4 linked regions of the Saccharomyces cerevisiae S288C genome follow. Changing the gene in region 3 together with the main gene of any one other region gives a genetic interaction. Each region holds a gene or a part of one and is shown on either strand. Other genes may lie near its edges. The genes, in order: YLR257W, PAN3, CIS3 and YMR181C.

The links.
Region 1: mutations in CIS3 (region 3) and YLR257W together harm fitness more than expected from each alone (negative genetic interaction), as found in Saccharomyces cerevisiae (one large-scale study listed by BioGRID).
Region 2: mutations in CIS3 (region 3) and PAN3 together harm fitness more than expected from each alone (negative genetic interaction), as found in Saccharomyces cerevisiae (one large-scale study listed by BioGRID).
Region 4: mutations in CIS3 (region 3) and YMR181C together harm fitness less than expected from each alone (positive genetic interaction), as found in Saccharomyces cerevisiae (one large-scale study listed by BioGRID).

What each region holds. Positions count from the first base shown.
Region 1 is NC_001144.5:651,941-660,296, reverse strand, and holds YLR257W (uncharacterized protein), read right to left. Parts: upstream 1,472-8,356; coding exon 506-1,471; downstream 1-505. Other genes in the region: YLR256W-A (gag protein), read right to left, coding at 7,858-8,356.
Region 2 is NC_001143.9:388,988-394,443, forward strand, and holds PAN3 (PAN-complex poly(A)-binding subunit PAN3), read right to left. Parts: upstream 3,293-5,456; coding exon 1,253-3,292; downstream 1-1,252. Other genes in the region: glutathione peroxidase GPX1, read right to left, coding at 393-896; URA6 (bifunctional uridylate/adenylate kinase), read right to left, coding at 3,539-4,153; MIN9 (Min9p), read right to left, coding at 4,159-4,386; SKA1 (Ska1p), read left to right, coding at 4,734-5,456.
Region 3 is NC_001142.9:121,765-126,334, forward strand, and holds CIS3 (Cis3p), read right to left. Parts: upstream 1,185-4,570; coding exon 501-1,184; downstream 1-500. Other genes in the region: cyclin-dependent protein serine/threonine kinase inhibiting protein FAR1, read right to left, coding at 2,072-4,564. UniProt on the Saccharomyces cerevisiae protein: Component of the outer cell wall layer. Required for stability of the cell wall and for optimal growth. Required for resistance against several antifungal and cell wall-perturbing agents.
Region 4 is NC_001145.3:618,528-626,415, forward strand, and holds YMR181C (uncharacterized protein), read right to left. Parts: upstream 5,554-7,888; coding exon 5,089-5,553; downstream 1-5,088. Other genes in the region: FPY1 (flavin adenine dinucleotide pyrophosphatase), read left to right, coding at 1-776; SPT21 (Spt21p), read left to right, coding at 1,331-3,607; CTL1 (polynucleotide 5'-phosphatase), read right to left, coding at 3,724-4,686; RGM1 (Rgm1p), read right to left, coding at 6,005-6,640; MIN3 (Min3p), read left to right, coding at 7,284-7,370.

The sequences.
Region 1 (8,356 bases), on a different chromosome or scaffold from region 3:
GCCTGTCCTGCCTGGCATGATAGTACTAAGTCAGCATCGTGCCGGAAAATCGAAAATGAGCCATGCTCGAGGCCCCATGTGCAGATATCCCTATTCCTCTTGTAGTATCTATTTTTGTCTCTAAAACGATATCCGGGTCCTCAGGAACGAATGATAGAAAATGGATTTAAGGTTTGCTGCTCCATGCGAGATTTTGTAAGGGTTCCATTAGTGATGGCGTGCTTTGCTCAACACACTAGCAGGCGGAAGGACATTCTTGTGCTACGCCTGCAATCTTGAATTTACTTCTCGAAGTATTCATGTTTTACTACCGTATTGTTTTATTTCGCACATATGTACATGCAACTCATCGGTCACTCTAAAAAGCCAGCAAATTTCGTAATCCATGAAATAAACATAAAAAGCCATTACTTGACAGAAATTTTAATGATAGACAAATAAATAATGTATACATATAAATAATTGGAAACTTCATCAGAAGTCACTCCAGTTTCAATATTCCATTCTACTGTGGTTGAGCTTTGTTAGCTGCTTCTTCCAAATCTTTGGTGTATTCTTCATTACCCTCGTCTTCCATCAAAACACCCTCCTTTTCGGCGTCCTCCTGCTCTTCTTCTAAAGTTTCCGGGATAATTTTGGGTCCGTTCTCCAAATCAACTAATGATATAGAGTAGTTGCTGGTACTATACATTCTAGAGTCTTCTCCCTTAGAGGGCGAAACCGTTTTGTTCTTTGTGGGTCCACGACTTATTGACCTCGATAAGGATCTTAGAAACTCAGCCGAAGATTTTTGTCTATCAAAGGATCTACCGCTTCTTTCTTGTCTTTTCTCTGATTTTTCAGGCGCCGTATGATCTATTTCCTGTTCTGCGGACTGGTACGATTCACCCTTCGCCAAATGTGGCCTGTTGGAATTGTTTTTGATCATTTGCCCGTAAGAGTTTCTGATTATGTCTTCGTCTTCGTCGTCTGCCTCACCTGTAATATTTTCAGGGGTGCCTGATGAAGAGTACTTACTGATGTGATCTTCGACAGGATCAGTTGATGTAATCAGTGAATTAGATTTGGAAGCACGCAGAGAAGGAGAGGAAAAACTTTCCGAGTTGATGGATTTATTTCTTTGCTTTTTTTTCAACAAGAGTAGTTTTTTCCTTTTCTCCTCTGCCTCTAGGTCGTCTCTATTGCTGCGAACTTTCGAAGCATCAACATTCTCCAAATCAACTTCGTCGGTCAGCAAAGCACCCTCACGATTCAATTCCGCTACAGATGTATAAGATCTATCTCGAATATCATCATCCTTCTGCATCTTGCTTAGGGCGTGATTGGAACTCGTTTGTGGCGTTAGTAACCTCGAAGCCTCACTTTCCTCATTAAACTGATTAGTATACTGGAAATCCAGACTATTTCCATCATTAACGTTTCTTATAGAATCACCAATTAAACATGGCGTACTACCCCTAGCGTCAACCATTCTTACTTCTCTTTCTCTTGATATGTGGTATATTTTACCTAAATCTCACGATAATATTATTTTCAAGTATGCTAAAAATAAAGGCAATCGAAACACGTGGAAAAGTACTCTTATTAACCAATGTCGTGCGGGTCAAAATGCTATTTCTATCACTGACGAATAGAGAACCTCTTAAAAATAAGTGATAGAGTCAAAGACAGAGCTAAGATCTTTTCAGACGCAAATACTAAGAGACCTAACACTGAGTAAAATAACTTAGCATGTCGTTTTCTATACGCTTGATTATCTATTTATATATGGTATGCATAGTGGCCAGTGCATGCGCAAAGCCTTGCCCTTACCGTGGCTTCGTCAGATCCAACCATTCACCATCCCCTGGATATGAACTAAAAATTTCTCGCAAGGTGAGGTCTAGGCCGACGCCCGTTAAGAACCCCTGCTGTCGAGCTTCAAAACGTAAACAGTTCGTCTCTAGTGATAACTGATAAGTACCTATTTATCAGTCCTAACCCCAGAGATAGATATCGCCTTGCAGTGCCGTATTAATGAAGAAGATTCTTTACGGTATCAAAGCGAAGTGCCATGAGATCGGCTTCACCGACAGAACAGACATGCAAAACGATGATAACTGCAGCTACACGAGAAAAAAAAACAAAAACGACAATCTCCAGGCGGAAAAAAAAGACCGAATACAACACAGCATTGTTTATATCACACTTTCCGTAATGATAATACACAGCGCAATATCTGTATTTTGTATGATCGAACTAATTGAGCGGTTCTTTCTTCAGCGCCTCTAAGTTTATTCGAAGAATTGCCCACTTGATTTAAGATATACGTTATAGCAGTGGTAACTTCTTTATACTTCTTGTTTTGCCAGCCAAAATAAAAAAAAAAAACAAGAAGTTACAATAGGCTAATGAAACTAAATTATAAAAACTTGTTCCTAAGACAATGAATTGTTCCCAATATCTTGATTTTATGGATTCTTGTTCTGTGTAAAAACAATGAGGGAAGGCCACCAGAGAGGGGTGATTAGGATCTTGGCGATATACACTTGAGGGTTGAGTGAATAATTGTTGAAATTTCATTGTTATCAAGAGCTATAATATTAGGTGTACGAATATACCAAGTTTCCCTCGAGAATAGAGAAATCCTCCAAGTGGAGTCGGTAAATCTACATAATAATATCACGGTTATTTCTCCTTCCGTTTTATATATTTCATTATCCCATTACATTATCAGTCCTTGCATTTCAGCTTTCATTAGTCTGATGACTGGTTCTCAATCTTTATGCCATCTTCTTACACTGTATATGATAATATACTAGTAAGATGAATATTAGTCAATAGACAATACTAGGCCTTCATTCCAACAGATTCTTGCTTCAACAGTAAGAAAAAGATCGAATATATGTGGTGAACTGGAGGTCTCAAAACATAGAGAGCAGTGAAAGACAACTGTTGTATTACGGGCTCGAGCAATACCGGGGTCCCTTGACAATCCTAATATAAACAGTCTTTGGGAAGTAACGAGTTGCCAAAAGGGATTATCAGCTTACGGAATGTTACTTATCTTATATATTATATAAAATATGGATCATACTTGATGGTGGAAGCGCGGAATCTCGGATCTAAACTAATTTTTCAGGCGTTTATACGTTTGGAAAGTTCAGTTAAGGAGGCGGAGTTTCATCTCATGTTGCTCATTCTGTTCGTTTTGCTATAAGGTTGTTTCATATGTAATTTAAGAACGTTTAGGATGATTATTATCATACTGACGTACCCCATTCTGAAACACAACAGACAACAAGAAAATTGGGCGTGTGGCGTAGTCGGTAGCGCGCTCCCTTAGCATGGGAGAGGTCTCCGGTTCGATTCCGGACTCGTCCAAGTAAATATTTTTTGCAACTTCTTCAACCTCCAATTATTATTCGATCATTACAATTCACCGATAAAATAACATACATGCTAAATAACTAAAATAATAATAATAAAAATATGTCCCTTTCTATTTATACATAAACAAACCGCATCACTCCCATATTGGAAAATCTGCTCTATAAAAATCTACTAGTCCATCTGAGAAATTTGTGGGTAATTAGATAATTGTTGGGATTCCATTGTTGATAAAGGCTATAATATTAGGTATACAGAATATACTAGAAGTTCTCCTCGAGGATTTAGGAATCCATAAAAGGGAATCTGCAATTCTACACAATTCTATAAATATTATTATCATCGTTTTATATGTTAATATTCATTGATCCTATTACATTATCAATCCTTGCGTTTCAGCTTCCACTAATTTAGATGACTATTTCTCATCATTTGCGTCATCTTCTAACACCGTATATGATAATATACTAGTAACGTAAATACTAGTTAGTAGATGATAGTTGATTTTTATTCCAACATACCACCCATAATGTAATAGATCTAATGAATCCATTTGTTTGTTAATAGTTTAAATGTTTTTATCGGAAGAGGTTTTGTCATCACATCAGCAATGTTCTTCTTGGTCTCGATGTAGTATACGTATAAATTATTACCTGATACTTCATCTCTAAGTCTCATTGCCTTTGTGCCAAAAAATCTGTTTCTAAATTTCTCTTCATTTGTAGACTTAATTATACTGATCGTTGATCTACTATCAGTAAGTAAGCCTTTAATAATTGGTTTCTTGTTAAGTTCTTGCACAAGGTGACTGAGGTTATTCAATAGCGGTATAGCTTCACTGACTGCGTGTATTTCTGCTTCTGTAGTTGAAGTGCATGTTAACGAAGCCTTTGTCGACTTTCCTCCAATCACTTTTCCGTTGAGTAGGAAAATGTTACCAATTTGTGACTTGTAATATGGTTGGTTACCATATGAAGCATCGCTTATTGCGACTAGTTTATTATCTGGCTTGGTAGGTTTGTTTTTGTGCCATATTAATTGTTTATCTCTAGTGTCCCACATGAATTGTATTAACTCATATGTCATGTCTAAAACTTGCCTAGAGGGGAATAGTATATGTTGAGCAAGTGTGTTGATGTAGTATAGTAAGTCAAATCTAAATTTATATCCAACATATGAAGCTAGACCAATCAACTTTTGCATTTCATGTACCTTCTCTTTGTATTCATCTTCATCTATTTCTAGTTCATCCTGGTCTATATAAAGACCTGGTTGACCTGGAGCGCTAAGTTTTCTTCCTTTTGGATTCAAAGGTACGTTTAATTTGGGTATTTTCTCAGTTAATGAGTTTTCCATACCTAATTTCATGTATTTACCTCTTTGATATTTGATTTCTAAGCCAAGTATGTCATATTGAATTTCCTCATCACTTTCGCCTAGATTTATAATCTTGGTGTCGTATTGCATCTTAAGCTTCTCTATAATTCTTTTGTTTGAATTTAGATTTTTGCTAAACAATACCATATCATCTACGAATAAACAAATTGTCACTTGACTGTTTTTAAATACGCATGACCATCCACGAACTTCTTCCATACCACATTGTTGTATCAGGTATGATTTGATAGTTTCGTACCAGTTCGCTCCACTTTGTTTCAATCCATAAAGTGATTTCTTCAAACGTATCAACTTATCATTCATTCCTAAATGTGGTGGAGGTCTTATGTATAATTCTTCTTTGATGTCTGCATACAAATATGCCGAAGATATGTCTAATTGTGTAATATAGTAGTTATTGTCTAATGCAAGTGACAGGGATGTCATTAATGCATAGTGATGTACGGTATTGGATTGCATGCCTGAGTCGTAAGTGTCAGGATGCTGAATATCACCTCTTGCAACAAATCTAGCTTTATGAGTACCGTCACGTTTCTTGTTGAAGATAAACATTGAGTTTATTACTCTTTTAGGGTCTATTTCTTTTCTGTCATAATATTCGTCAGTGTCCCAAGTTTTCATCTTCAACAGTTGATTGACTTCTTTGTGGTATGCCTCGATATATTTTTCTTTTTCTTTAATATCTTTATTATAGGTGATTGCCTCATCGTATCGTAAGGTTGTCCGTATTGGTTTGATTGATTTTACTGCTTTTACAGCTGCAATCAGGTGAATTCGTTTCTTCGATCTCGGAGGTTCTAAACTACGCATATTCTTAGTATTCCATGTGTCTCGTGATACCTTAATTTCAGTTTCATTATCTTCTAATGATCTTTTCTTACTGTTGATAGTAGTATAGGCATTAGAGTCACCAATACCACCCAAACTGGAATTAGTTTGACGAGAATTTATCGGTGGGAGTTCTTTAAATGGGTCAGGGAATTCGGTAGGAGATTCTGGAGGTAGATCAGGGAGTGGGAGATCAGCGATGATAGATTCCTCGGTATTCTGTTCAGAAACAGTAGTTGGCGTTTTGATAGGAACAATATTGTGCGATGAATTATTTTCCGGTGGAGAAGCATCGATTGAAGGTGAACGGTGTATAATCCTTTTCTCAGTCTCTTGGTCACTTATCTGCGGAACAGTTTTGTTGTTGGTACCACCCGTACTGGATATTGGTACGTTTGTATGATTAGTCTCATTTTCACTGTACGAGTCTGAGTGTCTGAAATCTTTAGATTTACTGGCGTGCGACGACTCATGTGTGTTAGATTGGGACATGGGAGCAAGTAAAGGAACATTTAATTTATGCATACCACCCGAACCGGTACTCTCGATATTGGAAATTTGGGGGGTGCTAGATCTCTTCTTTGATGGAAGAATATTAGATTCAGATATGTTGGGGTCAACTTCTCTGGGTGCGCGAATATTGGTTTTAGAAACACGTTTCGAATCTTCAGTATGAGTTGACGGAGGTGTGGAATCGGTTGGACTCACAGCTTTTGAAAGGACATTTCTCGGTTGCTCAGGATGTAGTTCAATGTCGGATTGGAAGTCATGGTCAGATTCTATGTTAAGATCATTGGATTCTTGGATCTCATTTGACGCAATGAACGAATGATATGAAGCAGTTAAACGGTTTAAGTCTTCATCGAAAGTGAGTGCGTCGTAATTGAATTGATCTAATCTGGATTCCTTGCCCTGAAGAATAACATAGTTAGTTGTATCTACTGTCTTCTTTAAGGACGGAAGATAGATGATATATCCATAAGAGTTTCGAGACGGATGTAGAGCGTAGCCTGGGATGCCACGAGGATGTATTTTGGAGTTAGGGTTGTGATCATTGACGATAACAGGTTGACCGAAAGGTAACAAAGTACTGATATCAAGTCCTGCCAAGCCAGCATGTTGTCTTGCAGATTTTTTGCTTTTAGGTGAAGCTAGTGAATTTCTCACAATAGTAGAAAATTCGATTGCAGAGAACCATAAATGGTTCGGTAAACCACTACATTGCAGTTGAGTACGGCAGTCATCTAATAAGGTACGGTTTAGCCGTTCAGCGACTCCATGTGCTCGGGAATCCGCTGTGGTTGTATAGCATGGAGTTATACCATTTTTTTTTCAAGGAATTTATGGAGAGTTCTGTTAGTATACTCAGAACCACGGTCCATTTGTATAACTAAGACACTGGCCTGAAACTGGTTTTTAATAAAAGCTAGTATCGTAGTAAAAACATCGAGGATAGAGTCCTCGCGACGGTCGTGTAATGGATAAACCCAACGGAATTTTGTTGTCTCATCAGTAAATGAGATGAAATAGGATGGTGCACTATTTGGTAGGTTGTGAACTGGACCAAATATGTCAGTATGTAGGTATTGAAAGGGTTCGTATGAATTTTGGTATTTTAGTCGTGAACCTTTGATATGTCTGTGTTTGGTGCTTTTGCCGATTAAACAATCAGGACATTGATAGTCAATAGCACTAGACCAGTCGACATCTGATTCGTTAAAATACGTGATGGTGTTATTTTTAAGTGAGTATCGAATTGTCTGTGCATTGGCATGCGCAAGCATTCGATGAATGAAAGGATAAGGATATTTGCGTGTACTTTCACTTGTATGGACATTATTGATGGTGGGTACGGAGATATTTGATGGAAGCAAGTACTTTTTAGATACCCAGTAAAAGTCTCCATATTTTACGATAGGTGCAAGTACAGTGCCGTCAGACCGTTCTAAGACGTTTTTGGTAAAGCATGCTGTGATATCTACTGCAGCCAATTCATTCAAACTGAGTAAGTCATAGGCTATGTTAGGAGTGTGCAATACCTTTATTGATGTTTTGGTGTTGTCCTGGAAGTGAAATTGTAGGTCACCAATAGCGTTAATTGGTATATTTCTTTTTTGAGCATCAACTACGTTTATGTCAGGATTAGATGATGCTGAGTGTATGTGGTGAGCAGATCTTATAAGGGTTCGTGATGCTCCTGAATCGAGAAGGAGGTGTCCAGGGAGTTCATCATCAGAATGATTAGTGTGATTTACCGTAGATTCAGTAAGTTCCTGGCCTAAGGTGAAGGTCGTGCTTATTGTTCAATTGAATCGGTTCAGTAGTTGATTTACTGATGGAATCGTTGTCCGTGCTGGGAGAGTTATTAGATGTGGATACATTGTGAGCCCTGGCTGTTTTCGATTTCGAATTATTTGTTTTTTGAGGATTCCGAGCTATAACTTTGGGTTTGGTTGTATTCGTATAGCTGCGAGAATCATTCTTCTCATCACTCAGATTTCTCCTGTAATTAGGTTTGCTGTTTCTCGATCCCTGTTGTTCTTCATAAATAGCATGGATATCTAAGAACAGTTCAGCGACTGTCATATTTAGATGTCGATGACGTGTGTAGCGTAAAAATTTATATTCGCCAGATAGACCTCTCATAATTAATTGGCATGCGACCTTGTTATTGATATGAATGCCATTATTGTTCAGTCTGTCGATAATGTTTGTGACTTTTGTTTCAAATGCATCTGCAGGTGTACTGCCATTATATTGC
Region 2 (5,456 bases), on a different chromosome or scaffold from region 3:
TAGAAAACTATTTTTATGCTTCTTCATTTACTTCTACTTGTTTATGTTTATTTGTAAAATTACATTATTTAATTTCTTGAAAGTAAAAAACTTGAATTTCTGAAATAAATAAAAACTAGAGAAAAATTAACGATGAGGCATGCGACGGAAATCAATATTGAAACTTCTCAAAGCTGAACCACTGAAAGGGTTCTTTAGGACAATTTTCATTCCCTTAATCAACAAAAAATGACTAAAACCTACATATTCTTCTTAGAAAAAATACATACGCAAAACAAGATAGAAGAGCAACTGTTGATACGATAGCAAGGGTGACAGAGACTATTCAATTATATGTCTTTTATTTTCATTCTTATCACCACTTTTCCGTTTTCAACTTCGTTGACCGCAAATTAAATCTGTTCTTCTGGTGGTTGATTCAGTAATTCTTCGATTATTGGACAAAGCTCTAGTGGCCTAGTCATGCATGAAAACCTTTTAACCACCTTCCCATTTCGGTCTACCACAAACTTTTCAAAATTCCATTTTATCATTTTTATTCCAGACTTCCCGCTTACTGAATTCTTTAAGAACTTGTAGACGGGATCTTGCTTTTGCCCGTTGCAACGGATCTTATGTAGAATAGGGAAGGTTACACCATATTTATCTTGACAGAACTTATTAATCTCTTTATCCTTCTCGAACTCTTGATTTCCGAATTGACCACAGGGAAAGGCCACAATCACTAGACCATGTGATTTGTATTTTTCGTACAAGTACTCTAATTCCTTGTATTGAGGTGTGAACGCACAATGAGATGCTACATTGACTATCAAAACCACTTTGTTACGCAGGGAGTTGAAGGGGAATGGATTTCCGTTTTCATCTATTGGTGAAAAAGAATAAAATTCTTGCATCGTTACTTATAAATATTGTGTTTCTCCGCTTATATTCCTTATACGGGTTCACAATCAGAGAACCTCGCCGTGCACAATATCACCTACATGACTAAAATATATTTGTACATTACTGTGTTATATAATCACTTAATATTGTTCACCATAAGCAATCTCTGTAGTAGAGGTGAGCCCCGGCTTTAAGTTCTCTTAGATGTGGCGAACAAGGGATGAATCGCTTACCCTATAGAATTAGGGAACAGAAGGGGAAAGCAAATACGGAAAATTTTCCACATGAAGACGGTAGTGGGGTATGTCAAGGGGATACTAATGTATAATTAATATATATGTGTGTATCTACATTATTTGGTGTTGTTTTATTGGGTGATGGATCGAAAGGTGGATTCTATCAAGTCCTTCAACTCCTTATAGGATATAATAATACAGTTTAACTCATCGGGCGTTACCAACATTAACTTTTCTTGAATACCAGCGTCTAATTTGTTCAAACATCTTAGGACATGAGTTAAATCCATTATTGGTTTCCCATTCGAATCCACTTGATGGAATACGTAGTCATAAAATAGTATAATGGGGAATTTAGTCCCAGATTCGGACCAATTTATGTCTATTCTTGATTCGATTCTACCAAAAATGCAATTTAGCTTGTTGACCAGCCTAAATAATCTGCCATTTTCTAGTTCTCTTGATAAGACAGACTCCATGTATTCTGTATAGGTTTGTGACGATTCCAGGACCATGAACATCTTATCATAAAAGTGACTAGTAAGATCATGAATGCTCTTTTTGGAATCGCCGTTGTCTGATATCAGATACTTGAGTACATCCTTGAACTTATCATCGATCTGTCTCATGTCATCAATTGATTGAGGGGTTATTTCCTCCAATCGATATTCTTTAGGGGCAGTGTTGTTATTAGAGTTTTCAATATTAATGGATAGGTTAAATAATAGCTCTCCTAAATATTTGTAGTCTAGCTGTTGTTGTCCCTCTATGGTACTTCCGCCGGAAGATACTACGGTATCAGTATCATCATTGAACAAAAGGTCCATAAAATTGCAGTGTGATAACTTGATTCTCCCTGGGTCCCCAGTAATCAAAACTTTTCTCCAGTTTAATGTATTGCCAATACTCAAGTTTTGTGAATGGATAGAGTTTATTACATTGGTGAGTTGAACTAAATATATCCATAAATAATTATTCGTTATTGGAAACTTAGGGAAATTAACAAAGTGGTAATCATACAAAGATAGCGAGTTTGGGTAGTAGTCAAAGACCAAACAAATAGACAGATCACCAAATTTAGTAGTTTGAAAAATGTCCCTAAACTTTATCAAATTTGTACAATTAATTTTTGACCATATCTGATATATTTTGGATATTTTGTTTGGATTCATTGACTTATCGATGTTAGGAAGCCTCTTCAAAACGTAGGCTTTACCGTCATAATTGGAAAAAACTTTGAAGAGCGTAGTTTTATTTAAAAAATCGTTATTATTGAAGTTCAATGGAACCAAATTAAAATAATCTTGTACAATACTTGGTATAACTTTACCTGAAGAGGGGAAAACCTGCAAAATCGATAAGTTTTTCTTGGTTAAATCTTCTCTAATATTGTTTGGAATGAAAAGCTGATCTGCAGACCTTTCATTAGGCTTTAATAATGATTTCAATGATGATGGCTGTTCAGGTGCATATAGGTGATACTGTAGAAGACTGTGAGGAGGCGGATAAATACGTGGGTACTTAAGATTACTACTCTCTATGGGTGGCGGTTGCATAGGAGGTGGCACATTATTAGCCATACTCATATTGTTACTATTATCATCAGTGGCGTTTATATTTATGCCACCAGAATTTGCAATGGAGGGAAATGGAAAAGAATGTGCATTTGCATTAGTGTGAATTGAGGAGGTTGAAGACGGAGTGAAAATGGGGGCATTGAAGGGGTCGTAATTGGAACTCGAAGCGGTAGTTGGTATTGATATGCTTATATTACTATTATTGTTATTGTTATTCACTAACGAGCTATTAACTATCGGATTAATCATCGGATTAACTGTAGAAGCAGTAGCAGAGGTAGCTGCCATGGCGATATTGCCAGTAGCATTTGTAGCAGCGGAGGTGGTATTCGTCACAGTGGTTAAGGAGTCACTACCGACTGTCATCGGAGTGAAACTTGCGGATACTTTAGCATTGAACTTAGGAACTGATGTCATGGTCGGAGTTGTAGCCTCACCCACATCTATTGGAGGAGGAACGTCATTTATGGTAGTAGCGGTAGTGTTATCGCTGTGTTTGAAAGGGCAACCTTCTTTCTCCTTTTTGCAGTAGCCATAAATAGTGATATTTCTGCACGGAATATCCTTCGCCCAATCAGGATTGATTTTGTCCATGGCGTAAGATACGTCTGACTAGTCTTTTAGGCTTACCTATCATCGAAACAGTGCTCCCGCCATTGTTATTATTGCTCTTTTAATTCATAAACCAAATAATTTAGCAGTTTATTTTAAGGTTACCCTGTAAAGGTCTGATATGTAGGGGAGGGCATATAATCATTTTAATATATATGTATATATTCTTACATATATATATAATATCGCCGTAACTTATAGCGTAAACTATATAAAATACGTCTTAGTCTATAAGCTATCACGGATAGCGTCTTGGACGTCTTTGTACACATCTTCGACGGATCTGTCGCAACGAACACGGACGACTTTCGATTTGGTTTCAAAGTACTCGATGACGGGCATACTAGTCTCCTTGAAAGTGTTAAATCTCTTCTTAATGGACTCAATGTTGTCATCGCTTCTACCACTGGTCTTGCCACGCTCCAATAGTCTCTCTAACATGATATCTTCAGGGCAGTCAAAGAACAGGATGAATTTGCTTTCAACGATGTCTCTTTCAAAGGAAATGGCTTGATCCATCTTCCTAGGAAATCCGTCAATTAAGAACTTATGCTTGTTCGCCTTGACGTTATCGGAAATAGCGTTGCGTAAAAGCGCCAAAGTAATCTCTTGAGGGACAATCTGGCCCTCTTTGATGCAGTTCTTGATCAATTCCCCATATTGGGAACCTGCTCTGCCCTGCTCAGCACGTAGAAGGTCTCCGGCTGACAAATGGACAAATGAATAGTCCTTAACTAGTTTTTCACACTGAGTACCCTTGCCTGCACCGGGTCCTCCTAGAACGAAGATCACGGAAACTTGGTCAGGCGAGAAAGCTGGCTGTGATGTAGTGGCAGCTGTCATTTGTCTTATTCAAGAAATTCAACTGGTTCGTTCTTTTGATAGTTTACCGAAATAACTGATGTCACGAGTGCTAAAGTTCCTACGAGTACCAACAATTTGCCTTTGTGTTTACCCTTGCTTTGACTTTTGTTAGCGCGTGGTACGTTTACGTTGGTCTTCGAAGGTGCTGTATTGTGGAAAGTTGGTTTTTTCGAAGAATAAAATCTCAGTATAAACCTGTAGCGTGGATTCATAATATAACTAAGCTAACATAAAAACGGGAGAGGGTGTGTGCGACTAAAGGCAAAGACAGGAATGCATCGCTTTAAAAGATCACCATAACTACTTAAAAGTTTCGTTAACGTGGTGAAAAAGAAAAGAAAAAGAAAAGTGAAAAAAATAAACCTAGGGTTGAAAATATAATCAGTTAGGTGTCATGATATTGATACATTTATTTCTATAGGTCTGAGAGTACTAACTTAGGGTATATGAGGGGTGTTAAGTTGGGATGATGACGCATTAATTAAGAGTTCATTATATGAGGATATTGTATACAATGCAAGAATAGCGCCCCAATCCCGGCCAGGTATAACGTGCAAGCATGAATAAAGAAGAATTATTGGGTTTTCTACTAGATGACAGTATTGATAGCCAAAAAAGATGCGTCACGGATCAGCAGGCCTACTCTAATTGGTTAAAGAATGATAATGATGAACGTACGGCCCATGAGGAAAGCTCTTCACAAAGTACGATAGCCGCATTGAATAAGAAGAAGCAGACAGAAGCTGCTCAAGAAGATATAGAAGAACTGTTAAACGGCTTAGAAGGCATTATTGGAGGAGCCGACCCCCGTAATCTCAAGAGTAAGTCAAAGAGGAAAACCAAAAAGGGCGGATCGAAACCAAGGGAAGAAAACGTGAATACGGAGAAACATATTGTAATGCTCGAGGTAGAAGATTTTAGTGATATGAGCACCCACGAAGATGTCAACGGAGCAAGTCCGTCGCCAAATCTGGACCGGTCGAAGAAGAATGAGAAGCGAAGGAAAAACGCCAAGGAGCTGTCATACGATGAACTAAAAGACAAACTAGAAGTTACCACTCGCAAATCACGTCTTGAGTGCAAAGACTTGAAAAAGAAAGTTCATGGGCTCGAAAGAAGGAACCTTGAACTTGAACAGCGTTTAGAAGAGCTGAAGATTGAGAACCAGACTTTGATAGAGATTAACAATAAACTGTTGAAAAACACTAATGAGGATGAGATTAACAAGAGCCAGAGGAACAAGGAGAAGGACCGAAAGCGGAGGGAAAGAAGAACGGCAAGG
Region 3 (4,570 bases):
TCCTTTTCTACTACTACTCTAGTCGCATCCATTCCTTTGCATTTATCTTTTCTGCGGTTGGCCAATCCATTCTTCCGAGAATTTGGCTAGCCATACTTGATGTTTTCCCATTATTGGTTCGTTTGGCAATGCTAATTTTCTTAATTGCCCCTTATATACTCTTCCATAAAATGTTTTTTTTATAACTAATTTTCTGTATATCATTATCTAATAATCTTATAAAATGTTAAAAAGACTTGGAAAGCAACGAGTGATCGTGACCACATAATTGCCTCGCTACACGGCAAAAATAAGCCAGTCCTAATGTGTATATTAAAGGCTGCATGTGGCTACGTCTATTAAAAAAAAAATATTTATCTAAATAAAAGAAACCTTCTTTTAGAGAACCTTAAAAATGTAATATACAAATCATTCATACCAAAATCTTTTTACAAATCATAATCTTTTTCTATTTCTTTTCCCTTATAAAAGGTAGAACATTAGTACTTTGATGTAGCTATTTAACAGTCGACCAAAGAAACAGCTTCCAAATGAATGGCACTACATTGTTCGGCGACGTTTTGATCATACAAGTTGTAGAAATTGCCGGATAGACATTGGTAGAAAACGTCACTGTCACCCAAAGCCAAGTAACCATCTTCAGTAATGGACCAACCGGCAGCGTAGATGGCGCCGGCTTGTGGTGGTGGACCGTCAAATTGGAATTGTCTGTTAGCAACAATAGAACCAATTCTACCCTTGGCATCAGTCAAAACACCGTCCTTCAAGGTCAATTCTAAGGTACCAGAATTCTTACATGAGCTATCTTTCAAAGATGGAGTGGCACAAGAAGATGATGTGGCATTAGTAGATGTTTTAGATGCAGAGGAAGAGATCTTTTCGGAGCTGGTTGGGGTAGCGGTAGTAGTAGCTTGGGCTTGACTATCGGTGGCTTGAGCAGTAGCAGCAGAAGTGGCTTGGACTTGACCGTCACCAATTTGAGAGATAACGTCTCTCTTAGCTTTTGAAGAGGTAATAGCTTGAACAGCAATACCAAAGGTGGTAGTGTATTCGGCAGCACCACAAGAGATGGAGCCGGTTGGGGTTAAGGTGGACCATGGTTCACCTGGAGTGTAACCTTCAGCAGAAGCAGTGGCGGATAGAGCAGCAACGGAGGCAGCTAGGGCGACGTTTTTGAATTGCATTTTAGATGTAAGTTTAGCGAGTGAAATAGTTTTATGTGTCTTGATTTACAATTACTACTGCCAAAAAGAGAAGGTTAAGATAGACCCACCACAAGATAGATTGGCTCTCTTTCCCGAATACTTATATACTGACTGTTTGGAGATGAAACCTTCGAGAATTTTTCACCCACTGTCAACCTATTTCTTATTTTTGTTTTTGTTTGTGGACGTTTAGCTTAAATCGGCGCGAATTTTTTTGGCGCAGTACACGCTGACCCGTTTCTTTTGGGCGACCGTGTCTCGACCGTAGCAAAAGGGGAAAAAGAAAAGCTGGAAGGGCTAGGCGGGATCTGGCCCGTGGAAATCGTATGGAATGCATAGGCGGCCCGGCCAGGCACCACGGAAAAAAGCTGATTGTCCTCTTTTACGAGCCGTGGATTTGCAGGAAGAAGCAACGCACGCATGGAAAACACGTGACCTGAAAGTCACCGGAACAAATTAGCCACATCGACGTTTCTTTTACTATACAGCTCGAACAAGCTAACTTGAAATGCTACAACCATGTTGGTATAATTGTGTACAGACACGTGCATTTTTGGTACGAAGAGGGTTACCCGGCTGCGAGTTTTTTTCATTATGAACTAATTCAGGGAAATAATCCCGTTCGGGAAATAGATAAACAACGCCAAACGAAAAAAAATATATAGTGCATATATGACGAGATTTAATTATCGCCAATAGGTTCTTTCTTAGGCAAAATTAAAGTTTACTCAATTTCTATTTATACATTAACTGCTATTTACGACGCATTATATATATTCAGTCATTGCGTAGTATAGACGTGGAGAAACGAAAAAAAAAAAAGGAAAAGCAAAAGCCTCGAAATACGGGCCTCGATTCCCGAACTACTAGAGGTTGGGAACTTCCAGGGTCTGATGAATTCTTTGCTGCTTTACCAGGTCAAAATATTCTATTTCTATCAAACTAGAATGCGGGTGTTCATCCATAATTAGACGCGTTTTTTGTTCACCCGCAGCCATATCCCCCAAATATACTTGCTCGAATGTAGCTTGTGGTAGACGAAGAGTTACATCTAGATAACGCTTAGTGTGCAGCTCCTCTAAAAACTGCTTAATGCTAGCGTTCAATGGAGTCATGCGGCGTTGCGAAATTTCGTATCTCCAATGGTAAGATAACTGGTCAAAGGCCTTTTTTAATTTCTGATCATGCTCAATGTCAACAACGTCACTCCCGTTGAGGACCAAGATTTGCTTGGCGTATCCAGTTGCAATATGGTCATCTGTATCCACGTATGCACTTGTTGACGCTAATCTTTCACAAGTTTGTAATGTTACCTTATACTGTTGCTTTTCATCGCGGAAGACGTTTGGATTAACCACTTCTAAATTATCCAAGAAAGTTGTCCATCCGTCCCAATTTTTATTTATCATTCCGATGAAGGTGCCAAATGGGCCTACTACACCGGATCCATCTCTTCCAACAACAACTATTCCCAGTAAATCGTCTGTGTTTAATCCATCCAATATTTGATGAACACTCTTTAGAACTCTCTTGCGATACAGTTCCCCATCAGCATGCGACAAATTCAAACATACAATAAGTTTTAGCGGCGTATCACTGTGCAATCTTTTCCACGGTAGACGAGAATCATGGGATTGTGCTGATATAACATCAGGCGGCGCTCCTAAAGCGCCTATTATATTCACATGAGAGAGTTCCTTCACTGTAGAAACAATCTCACTTAATGGTAGTGTCTCCAGTGAAGAATTTTCTAGACAATACTTCCATTTGGGAAGCAACCACTTTTCGCAGTTTTCGTTGAACCTCAAGTATATTTCAGGTATATTAGTGCTCTTCAAACTACAAAGTAGTACGTCCTCATTGAACTTGATTACCTGGTAAAACTGGTCTCTAGGAATCTTACCCAGGATCTTCATTTCTTCAAAATCAAACAAAACTAGAAATTTGGAGAATAATATTACAAGGTTATTGTCTACCCATTGTTCGCCATCATCAGAATACATTAGTTTGTCAAACAAGATCAAACTGCCAAATTCGCTATCCTTATCCACATTTGTTTCGATATATTGATCAATTTTCTTTTTCCATTCCTTTTCCCTTTCCTCTAGTTCTTCGTGGTCCACATGATTCACATCTTGCAAGACCCCTAAATCATCACTGGTCCGCATTTCTTGAAACTTCACACTGACCATAACATGTTCACCACCCGTTTTACTAAACCACACTTCAGCAGCACTTTCGTCTATTTCATCATCACAGTCCAGTTTTTCATCATCACTTAAATCAAAAGGGTCTGTAGTTGCCATTTTATTAACGAATGGTGAATTTAAAAATGGGCTATCAAGATAGCTAACGGCCTCAAATTGATTGCTATTCGATAAGCGTGGTGTCCTGAACCCATCACATGAAATATCAGCAGTACGAATGAGCTGCTCCTGTGGTGTAAACTGAGGAAATTCACCTGTGAAGCTTCTCGCCGTTTTCAAATCAATCCATTGCTGTTGCATATTGGATGACGGACCATCATCATGAGCGCCTGCGCCCGTTAGAAGTTTGGATACCATTTCAGGAACAATGTCTTTATCCTTTGGCTTGCTCACTTCGCCACATATCTTACACTCAGGAAACTTGCCTTGGAAATAAAGAGTTTCAAATAGCATCAAATAACAGTTATAGTGGCTAGTGTGTGAACACGTAGACTCCACAACCTTTTCACCGGTAAATGTGGAACTAATACTTTCCTCACAGATTAAACATTTCTCACCTATGTACCTTTTTGGACTGAATTGTGAATTGCATTTTTTTATGTTTCTTTCCAGGCTGATCATGAAAGTTGGTGAATCTTCTTCGTAATATGAATCGCCGTCAATGCGATAATCTTCATCCATAACCGTTAAATTGATGTCTGACAAAGTATCACACATAGTTGTAGAATCAGAAATCGACTCTCGGAGTAAACTAGTAGTTAAATTTGTAGCTTTGATGTTGTATTTGTTGCTACTTGTGATATTTACTGGCGATTGTAAAGCGCTAAGTTGTCCTGTTTTCGAAAAACCAGATGCTACTGATCCCGCTGTTTTCTTCAAACTTGGTGGGGGAGATATAGGCTTGGAAAGATTCAGTGGTTTAGGAATATTGCCTCTTTTGGACATCATTAGGCCAAGATTTGGAGTAAATTGACTCTCTTCAATATACCCAAATGTGGGCATCTGTTGCTTCTTAAATTCTGGTGTCTTTCTAAAAACTTTACCCGATAAACCTCTTAGAAATTTCTTCGGTGGTGATCTTTCAGCGTCACGATCTCCACTTGGTGGAGTGTGTATTTTTTTTTCAAACGAAACTCTTGTTGGTGTCTTCATTAATAG
Region 4 (7,888 bases), on a different chromosome or scaffold from region 3:
ATGGAAAAGTAGTTGATACAAATTCCACTTTTTTTGCGAAGTATTGCTTTGATCATGGAATTCAATTAAAAGAAATTGCAACTATAGGGGATGATGAAACCCAGATCGTAGATACTGTGAGAAGATTAGTCAAAAATTATGATTTTATCATCAGTACAGGTGGAATCGGCCCCACTCATGACGACATCACTTACGAATGTATGGCGAAAAGCTTTAATTTGCCTTGTGAACTAGATGAAGAATGCAAAGAACGAATGAGGCATAAATCTGACCCTGAAGCAAGGCTTGATGCAGATGCTCTAAAGGCGCATTACCAAATGGCAACCATGCCAAAAGGCACAAACGTCAAAAATTATTATGTGTGTGATGACTTGTGGGTACCTATTTGTTCTATATCTCACAAAATGTATATACTACCCGGTATCCCTCAACTATTTGCAAGGATGCTGAAAGCGTTCACTCCCACGTTGAAAAAAATATATAATTTGGACAAGGATCCACGTGAGTATGTTCGTTATTTTGTCAGAACACACCTAACTGAGTCTCAAATTTCTAAAGAGCTAAAGTTGATTCAGGATGAATCAACAAAAGTTTCAGAAGCCATTAAAATAGGCTCATACCCACATTTTGGTATGGGATTCAATACAGTTAGTATTTTGGGTGAAAAGAAAGACGATTCATATCTGAAGAGTATTGTCAATAGAGTTGTTAATAACCTCGAGGGAGAAGTAATTTCTTCTGAACTTGAAAACAAGTTCTCGAACCAGGAGAGCTGAATACCCGAGTATTTAGAACTATGTATAGATATAGATTTTTTTTTTGGGAGCAAAGTCATCTCAGTCATCGCCGGTAGTTGCGCTTTCTTCTCAACAAAAAAGTACACTGCTCGTGGTAGAAAGGTACCTTGAAAAATTAAAGATCACATTGCTACTGTTAGAGCTTCAATCGCTAAAGTAAACATTTGAAAAATGCATATCCGAAAGGACCAAACCAGCAAAAGGTATATAATTCATTCAATAGATACAACTGCTCCATGAAAGGAAAAACCTTCATTTACGGTCGCGTTTTTTTTCGTGATATAAAAAAGGTAAAAAAAACGCGTCGCGTTAGAAAAAAGGTGTGTGTGAAGAGAAAGACCCATTGAATGGAGAGTTCGGTTCTTGGGAATTGCACTGAGCCGTGGTGAGTTTGTTGCTTTACTACATCTCTTCTTTTATAAGCAACGCTTAAGCTGAACCTAGTCAACACACATAACTGAAGTCAATTTGACCAGGTGCAACTGAAACCTGGATTGGAATTGGTATTCACTTGAACAAAAGACTCTGGTAAAATGTCTGAACTCTCTCAAATGACATTGAAGATCCTTTACACATTGGATAATGGATCCAATGGTAGTTATTTAGCCCGCTCAAGGGCTCCAAAACAGGTAAGAGTTGCTAATATTCCTAGTCCATTCCCGACAGATTCGAATGAGCAAACGGAGTTGCGAATTGGCGCCATCCATTTGAAGACTATACTGCATGAAATATACTTAAATTCACCTGAAGTGTTAGACCATGACACTTTAAAAGATGGATATGATTATAACTTGTATTATCGTGACATATGTGAAGTGGATGAGCCATTAGTAAGCCTTGGTCTTCTTTCCGGGCTTCGAAAAAAGTTTCATAAGAATAGCCCCTACCAGTATACAGAAAACAATATTGGTGAAGAAGAAAGTGAAGAGAGAGATGAGGTAACTGAAGAAGAGTATGAAGATGAATCTTTTATAGTTACTGGAAGGGTATGCTCGAATGTTTCCGCTTTACTACGAAGATCATATAGCAACATCTCGAATAAAAAGGGAAGGGTCGTAAACAACCAAATTCCGGAAGAAACTTTGGAGGTTAAACTAAGATTCACAAAAGTTATAACCAATTTAAGGACGTCTGGTAACAATACTACAAATTCTCGGATATCGTGTCTTCAAATGCCGTCTTCTTTACCATCAGCAACACTTCCGTTTACCCCAAAATCGCAATCTCTTTTCAAGACAAACCAAATAAAAAATTCAAGGAATGCAAGGACCACGATAACAATAAATAATACTAATAGCGGGACTGTGGGAAGAAGACAGACGAATCCTATGCCTGCTCCAAAAGCTGTCAGAACTCAGTCTTTACCCATCTGGAATCTTAAACCAAATATAGCGAATACTGGTTTCCCAAGAAATTCAATTGCGCACAAAATCTACTTAGCAGATAGAAAAACAGAAGCCAATCAACAAAACAACCAGCATCAAAACATAGCTTACGAAATAAATACTTTGCAAAACGATAATACTATTCAGAGGACCAAGATCGATGATTCGGTAAGCAAGAGGTTCGATTTTATGCTCAACAAAAGAAAGTCTACGAAAAAAGTGTCACCTGGTATAGCAACGATAGCAAAAAAACCAGCTTCAATAAACATAAATCCAAAGCAACCGCCGAAGACTAGTGGTGAAAAAAAAGCAAATGATAAGCAAACGATTGTCAAAGTTAAGAATTCGAATTCCAAAAATTCGGCTAAGTCTACACAAGCAGGATGTAGGCGATCATCAGTGATAGAACATTTAAATGATCATGACGATTCAATTTTAAGTGACATTCTATCGGAACCAGGCATTGAAGGGCAGAAATTGCAGCAAAAACAAAAGGGGCGTAAGATATCTTTAACTAGTGAAAATGATAAAGAAAATATTCCACCCCAAAGCATAACTAGTAAAGAGAACAAGCTTGAAGGTGACTTGGATTTTAACGCTGAGTTCCCCATGAGTGACTTTTCGGATGTAGTATTTAAAGATGAGATGGGATGGTTTTCCAATTTCAATTGCAATTTTTTTGAATCACCAACTTCTGCAAGTGCATCACAACTCAATCAGCAAAATTTGAAGCCTTCTATAACACTCAACGATCCAAACACCTGTAACACCATTGCTCTCGAAAATGAAGATGTCAGTGAATTGGAAACAGCGCAAAATAATAAAATATCTTTGCCTAGCGATGTTGACAAAACCTCCCCAATAGACTCGTTGTCTATACCTTTAATTGAACTTACACATTCAAGCTCGACAACAAACATGCAGCGTATATCCATTAAAGAAGGATCGACACTAAATATAACAGATAGTAATAATGCCACCCCATGTGATAATGATATAAAAGATAGAAAGGCATCTGTAATAGATTCGGACAATACAAAACCTCAGGCAGGGCTTATAAATTTCTCTACTCCAGCTGACCAGCCAGCTTCTGATAATAATGTTACAGCTTCGAAAAAGCTTACTAGCATGCTGGAAACTCAGCAAAGTAAGAGATCTCATGAAGAAGTTTTGGATGAAGAGGAAGAGGAGGAAGCCCTCAAAAAGCAAAAGGCAATACCGTCTTCACCATGTGGGATGTTCAATTATCATCAACCCATGGAATTATCTGAGGACATAGTTGAAGAAGAGCAAGGACACAATATCGGCGATGATAATGAAAGCGATAAGACCAACGATTTATTCTCAACATTCATCCATTCAGGAATAAGAGTAAGTCAGGTAGTAACAAGTCCCATCGGTGAATTTCAGTCAATAAAACACTGAAAATATTACATGAACTTATTCCTAGCACAGCATGTATATATATATATATATATATATACTCAGATCATACATGTAGCACCTTATAGAGAACAAAAAGAAGTATTTAATTAGCATTTTCATGTCGTTAACATGTTATCGCGTTCTGCAGCCTTACGTATAAGGTCGCTGGCATTCAAAAACGAGCACATATACTCATTAAACTTCTCCCTATCATTAGCGGAAATTGTCTCCTTGAATATAGGATCCATTTCTACCTCCACTTCATGGGACGTGTATTGATGGGAGTTCCTTCGCGTGGTAGTAACCTTTGTCAAATCCAAGTGTAAAGGCATTTTATCATTAAAGGTGTAGGTGGAACGGCTTTTGGTTCTTTGTAAAATAAAGCCATTCCTGAAAGCGGCAGAAGTTTCGTATTCAGGCACTTCAAGGCTGATGCTAATTTTAGCGTCTAATGAACTTTGAGGATAGCGAATGAGAAAATCCTTGACCCGGACCTTTTTGATGTAAGTAAGTTTAAGTTCTTTGTTTCTAAGGTCTTCCGAACAACGCCATGAAGTTAATTTGCCAACTTTCGAGGCATTGTTGCAGTTATATATAGAATCTTTCGTATACTTTTGTACCTGTTTTACTACTCTTGGGGCACATTTACTTGGATTCTCCGATTTTGAGCGGAGTAGCTCCTGGAAACTCGAGAACATTTGCTCAGGAACGTTAGACACTAAGCGGCCATTTCTGTTTTGAACAATAAAGGGCTTGTTGTGTGGTGTCATCCTGCGATGTGTCCTTTTGTCTGTTATAACACCAAATTTCATTTCGATTTCAATGTGTGATATCGACGATTTATCAATACAAGCAAGATATTTCCATGCTAACTTACAAACATGTTTATGGAATTCTGTCGCACCTCTTGAATTGTTTCTTGTGGTTTTGTATAAAGCTCTAGTTGATGTTAATGGCTTAGTGGTTTCAGAGATATGCAAGCTTCTGAATTTCGAGGCAACATTAGCGTCAGCTTTCTTTGCGCCAACATTTTCATGAGAATTTCTACTATTGGAAGGAGTCTCGGGTTGGTCAGACATATCTTAAACTTCCTATAGTGTTTTCATTTTTCCTTTTCAGTGCTTTTTTTTTCTTTCCCATTTTGCTGGTAGTCAACAAAGTTGTCTTAAGGAAAAAAAAATAAAGAAAATATTGAAAACTAATAAGTTTTTTTCCTGTAAAAGTGTATAAAATATATAGGAGATCCCGTCAAATAATAGAAAAAAAATTTTTTGCCACATATACCTGTAGCCCCAGGAATACTGAAAAAATGGAGTAAAATGAAATGAACAATTCGTCGTGAAGAATACAAAGAAATATTAAAGAAATTTCGACGTAATACATAGTTCAACCGATTAATAAGAAATACCCAGAATAATAAGAGAAAGAAAATGAAAAAAGGAAAAGAAGCCCCATGTCTGTAGTGAACGTGTTCTCGTTAGTTATTCAGAAGAAGCTGGACTGAAACTCTTCGAAGTGTAGGGATTGAACTTAACTATCTTTTCCTCTTTAGGAGTGGAGGAATACGTTTGGGAGATTTGTAACTGGGTCAATAGTGCTTGTTCCATGTAATACTTGTCAATTTCCTGGTATACCACTTGTTCTTCTGGGGTGAGCAAACTTCTTGGACAATAAAAGATGTCGTCTTCGAAAGTTTTACTGATGTTGTTTTTGTACATTATGGTGTTCATGCCGTCTTGTTGGGTAGTGAATTCATCACTAGAACTCACCCTACTGTTGTTGGCAGTGTTATAGCTGAAAATGCCCGAGTTATTTTTACTATTGGGTACCGAGGGAGAAGAATAGAATGACTGAGGGCTGGTGAGGTTGAATTCATGTTGTTGGATGCTTTCCGTAAGGTAGAGGCTTGTGTTCATTTTTGCTTCCGCCTGCAAAAGTGGAGTCATTTTTTTTTTGTTCTGAAATCAGGAGAATTAGAGTAGGGGGAAGGTGAGTAAATATAAGGGGTCGAGGAACAAAATCCTTATAAACAATCCGTAGAGTAAAACGCTGCTTGTTATCTTACAGCAATGTAATAACAAGCAAGAAAGATAAAGCAATACGAACCAGTTGCTACTTGGTGGCACAGACGTGCGAATTAATTAAGGTTGTGTGGACAGGAAAATAGCGTTTCCCTCGAAGGGTATTGTTCTTGTTCTTTTTATATTTTCGGCATTTTTATGCTCGGCATTTCCCAACAGAAGCGGATATATTTTAAGGGCGCGGAGATGAGCCAAACGGCAAGCGATATCAAAATATCTGCATAATAACGGCAATCAACGCGCACGCGAATGGCCAAGAGGGTACAATAGCAGCAATGATGCGGCTTGTGAAATGGAGGAGTGGGTGCGGTAGAGCTTATTTTTTTGCGTTTGGTGAAGCGTCCTTGGCCTGGTCAAAACTTTGCACCTTAGACGGCGATGCTGGAGTGTCACTGCTATCTGGAGGGAGCTCTACAATGTTGTGGTTTTGTATGGGAGTGTGGTTCAGGAAGAGTGGTTGCATATAGCTGTATATTGGTAGTGGAGGAGGCTGATGCGGCAATGGTATGGGAGCAGATGGCATAGGATGAGGGAAGTATGGTGGTGCGTAAAGAGATATAGTGTCTTGTGGGCTAGCAGGAGTTGATATGGGCAGATTGTATGGAACAGGCGCGGGCTGGACAACAATTCCATATGGGCGTAATTGCGGGAACATTCTTGTTGCGTTAGGGTCGTTCGCAGTGCTATTTGCGGACTGCTGCAGTCTACGTAAGGACATCAAATCAACGTCCGAATGAACAGAAGATTGATGTTGTCTTAAGTTATCGATTCTACTGAAGAATTTAAGGCAGATATTGCATTGGAATGGTTTCTCCCCTGTGTGTTTCCTGATATGTCTAGCCAAATGTTCGGTCCTATTGAAACTCATGTTACAATCAGGATATCCCACGCATCTATAATTTCTCTTGACAGAAGCGTTGTCTTTGTTCCTTTTCGGTTGTTTTCCTCTCATGTTTAACCAGTGTCATGCTAATTGTCCTGGACTATAGACGTGAGTGGGGAGGAATAGTGCTATGAAGTCGCAATTGAATCAAGAATACACGAAAGAAAGAGAAGGAGGCGTCTGTTCATATACACACAAACAATAGTTGAAATCAAGAAGATACAATGAAAGAAAAGAGAAGGAAAATAATGTTATAAACGATTGAAGGGATCCGCTGAGGAATGAAAAAAAAAAATAAGAAAGTAAGAGAAGGGAAAAAAAAAAGAAAAAAAGAAAAAAAGAAAAAAAGAAAAAAAGAGGGAATGATCGAAGATAAAAATTCTCAGAAATTTGAGAAGAAGGAAAAACTCTACTTAAATAAAGATAAACTTTTCATGGCTTGAGAGTCCGGCATCCACGTAACTTAATGGTCCGTGCGGTAACATGGCAGGGTGTGCAGGACCCTATGGCTCGAGAAGTTGCTACCGGTGTTTAATTTTTTTTTTATCTTAATATTAGGAAGAGAAAAAGCATCAGTTACGAGACTCCTGAAGGAGCGCCGGAAAGTTTCTTTTTTTTTTTTTTTTTTTTAATTTTTTTTGTGTGGGGAAAGACCGACTACCAGTAATACTTTAAAGATATTATTAAAAGAAATCCCGAAAAAAGAAAGACCATGAGAAAACCGAGTGCGTTTCATGCATGTAACATAATATTTCTTCCCCTCGTTAAGTGTGCATCAGCAACCATAATGCTGAATTAACCGCAAAGGTTACCATAAAGGATCGCATATAAACAAAACTCGCCCTTTCTCCTGCATCCCTTACCGAAAAGGAAAGTTTATATACACTTAAAGGAAAGTGCTACTGTAGGTCGTCAGGCCGTTGATGTACTGCTCTTCGAGACAACTATTGTACCTTAACTGTAAGAATTTGCTCAAGCCCTCAAAAAACACAACGTGCGGGTAACGACAACGAAGTGGGCGCAAGACAAAGATGGAATATCCTATCCGATGGGCACTATAAAAGGCGAAGGGAAAATTAGTTTTTTTTCTTGTCAAGCATTTGCCGAGCGCTTCAATGTTGATTGGTCTAGAAGTAACAATCAAGACAGATAAAGTCTAGTACGTGTGCAGGTTAATGCGCAAGTGAGAAGTGTAGATATTGTAGTTGTGATATTTACTATTCTAACTTGGCGCTATTAACGCTTTCACAACCCAAAAACATCAAGAAAAGCCTTTCAATAAATTGCTCTTCTCTTGGCGAAAGAAAGCGGGGGGCA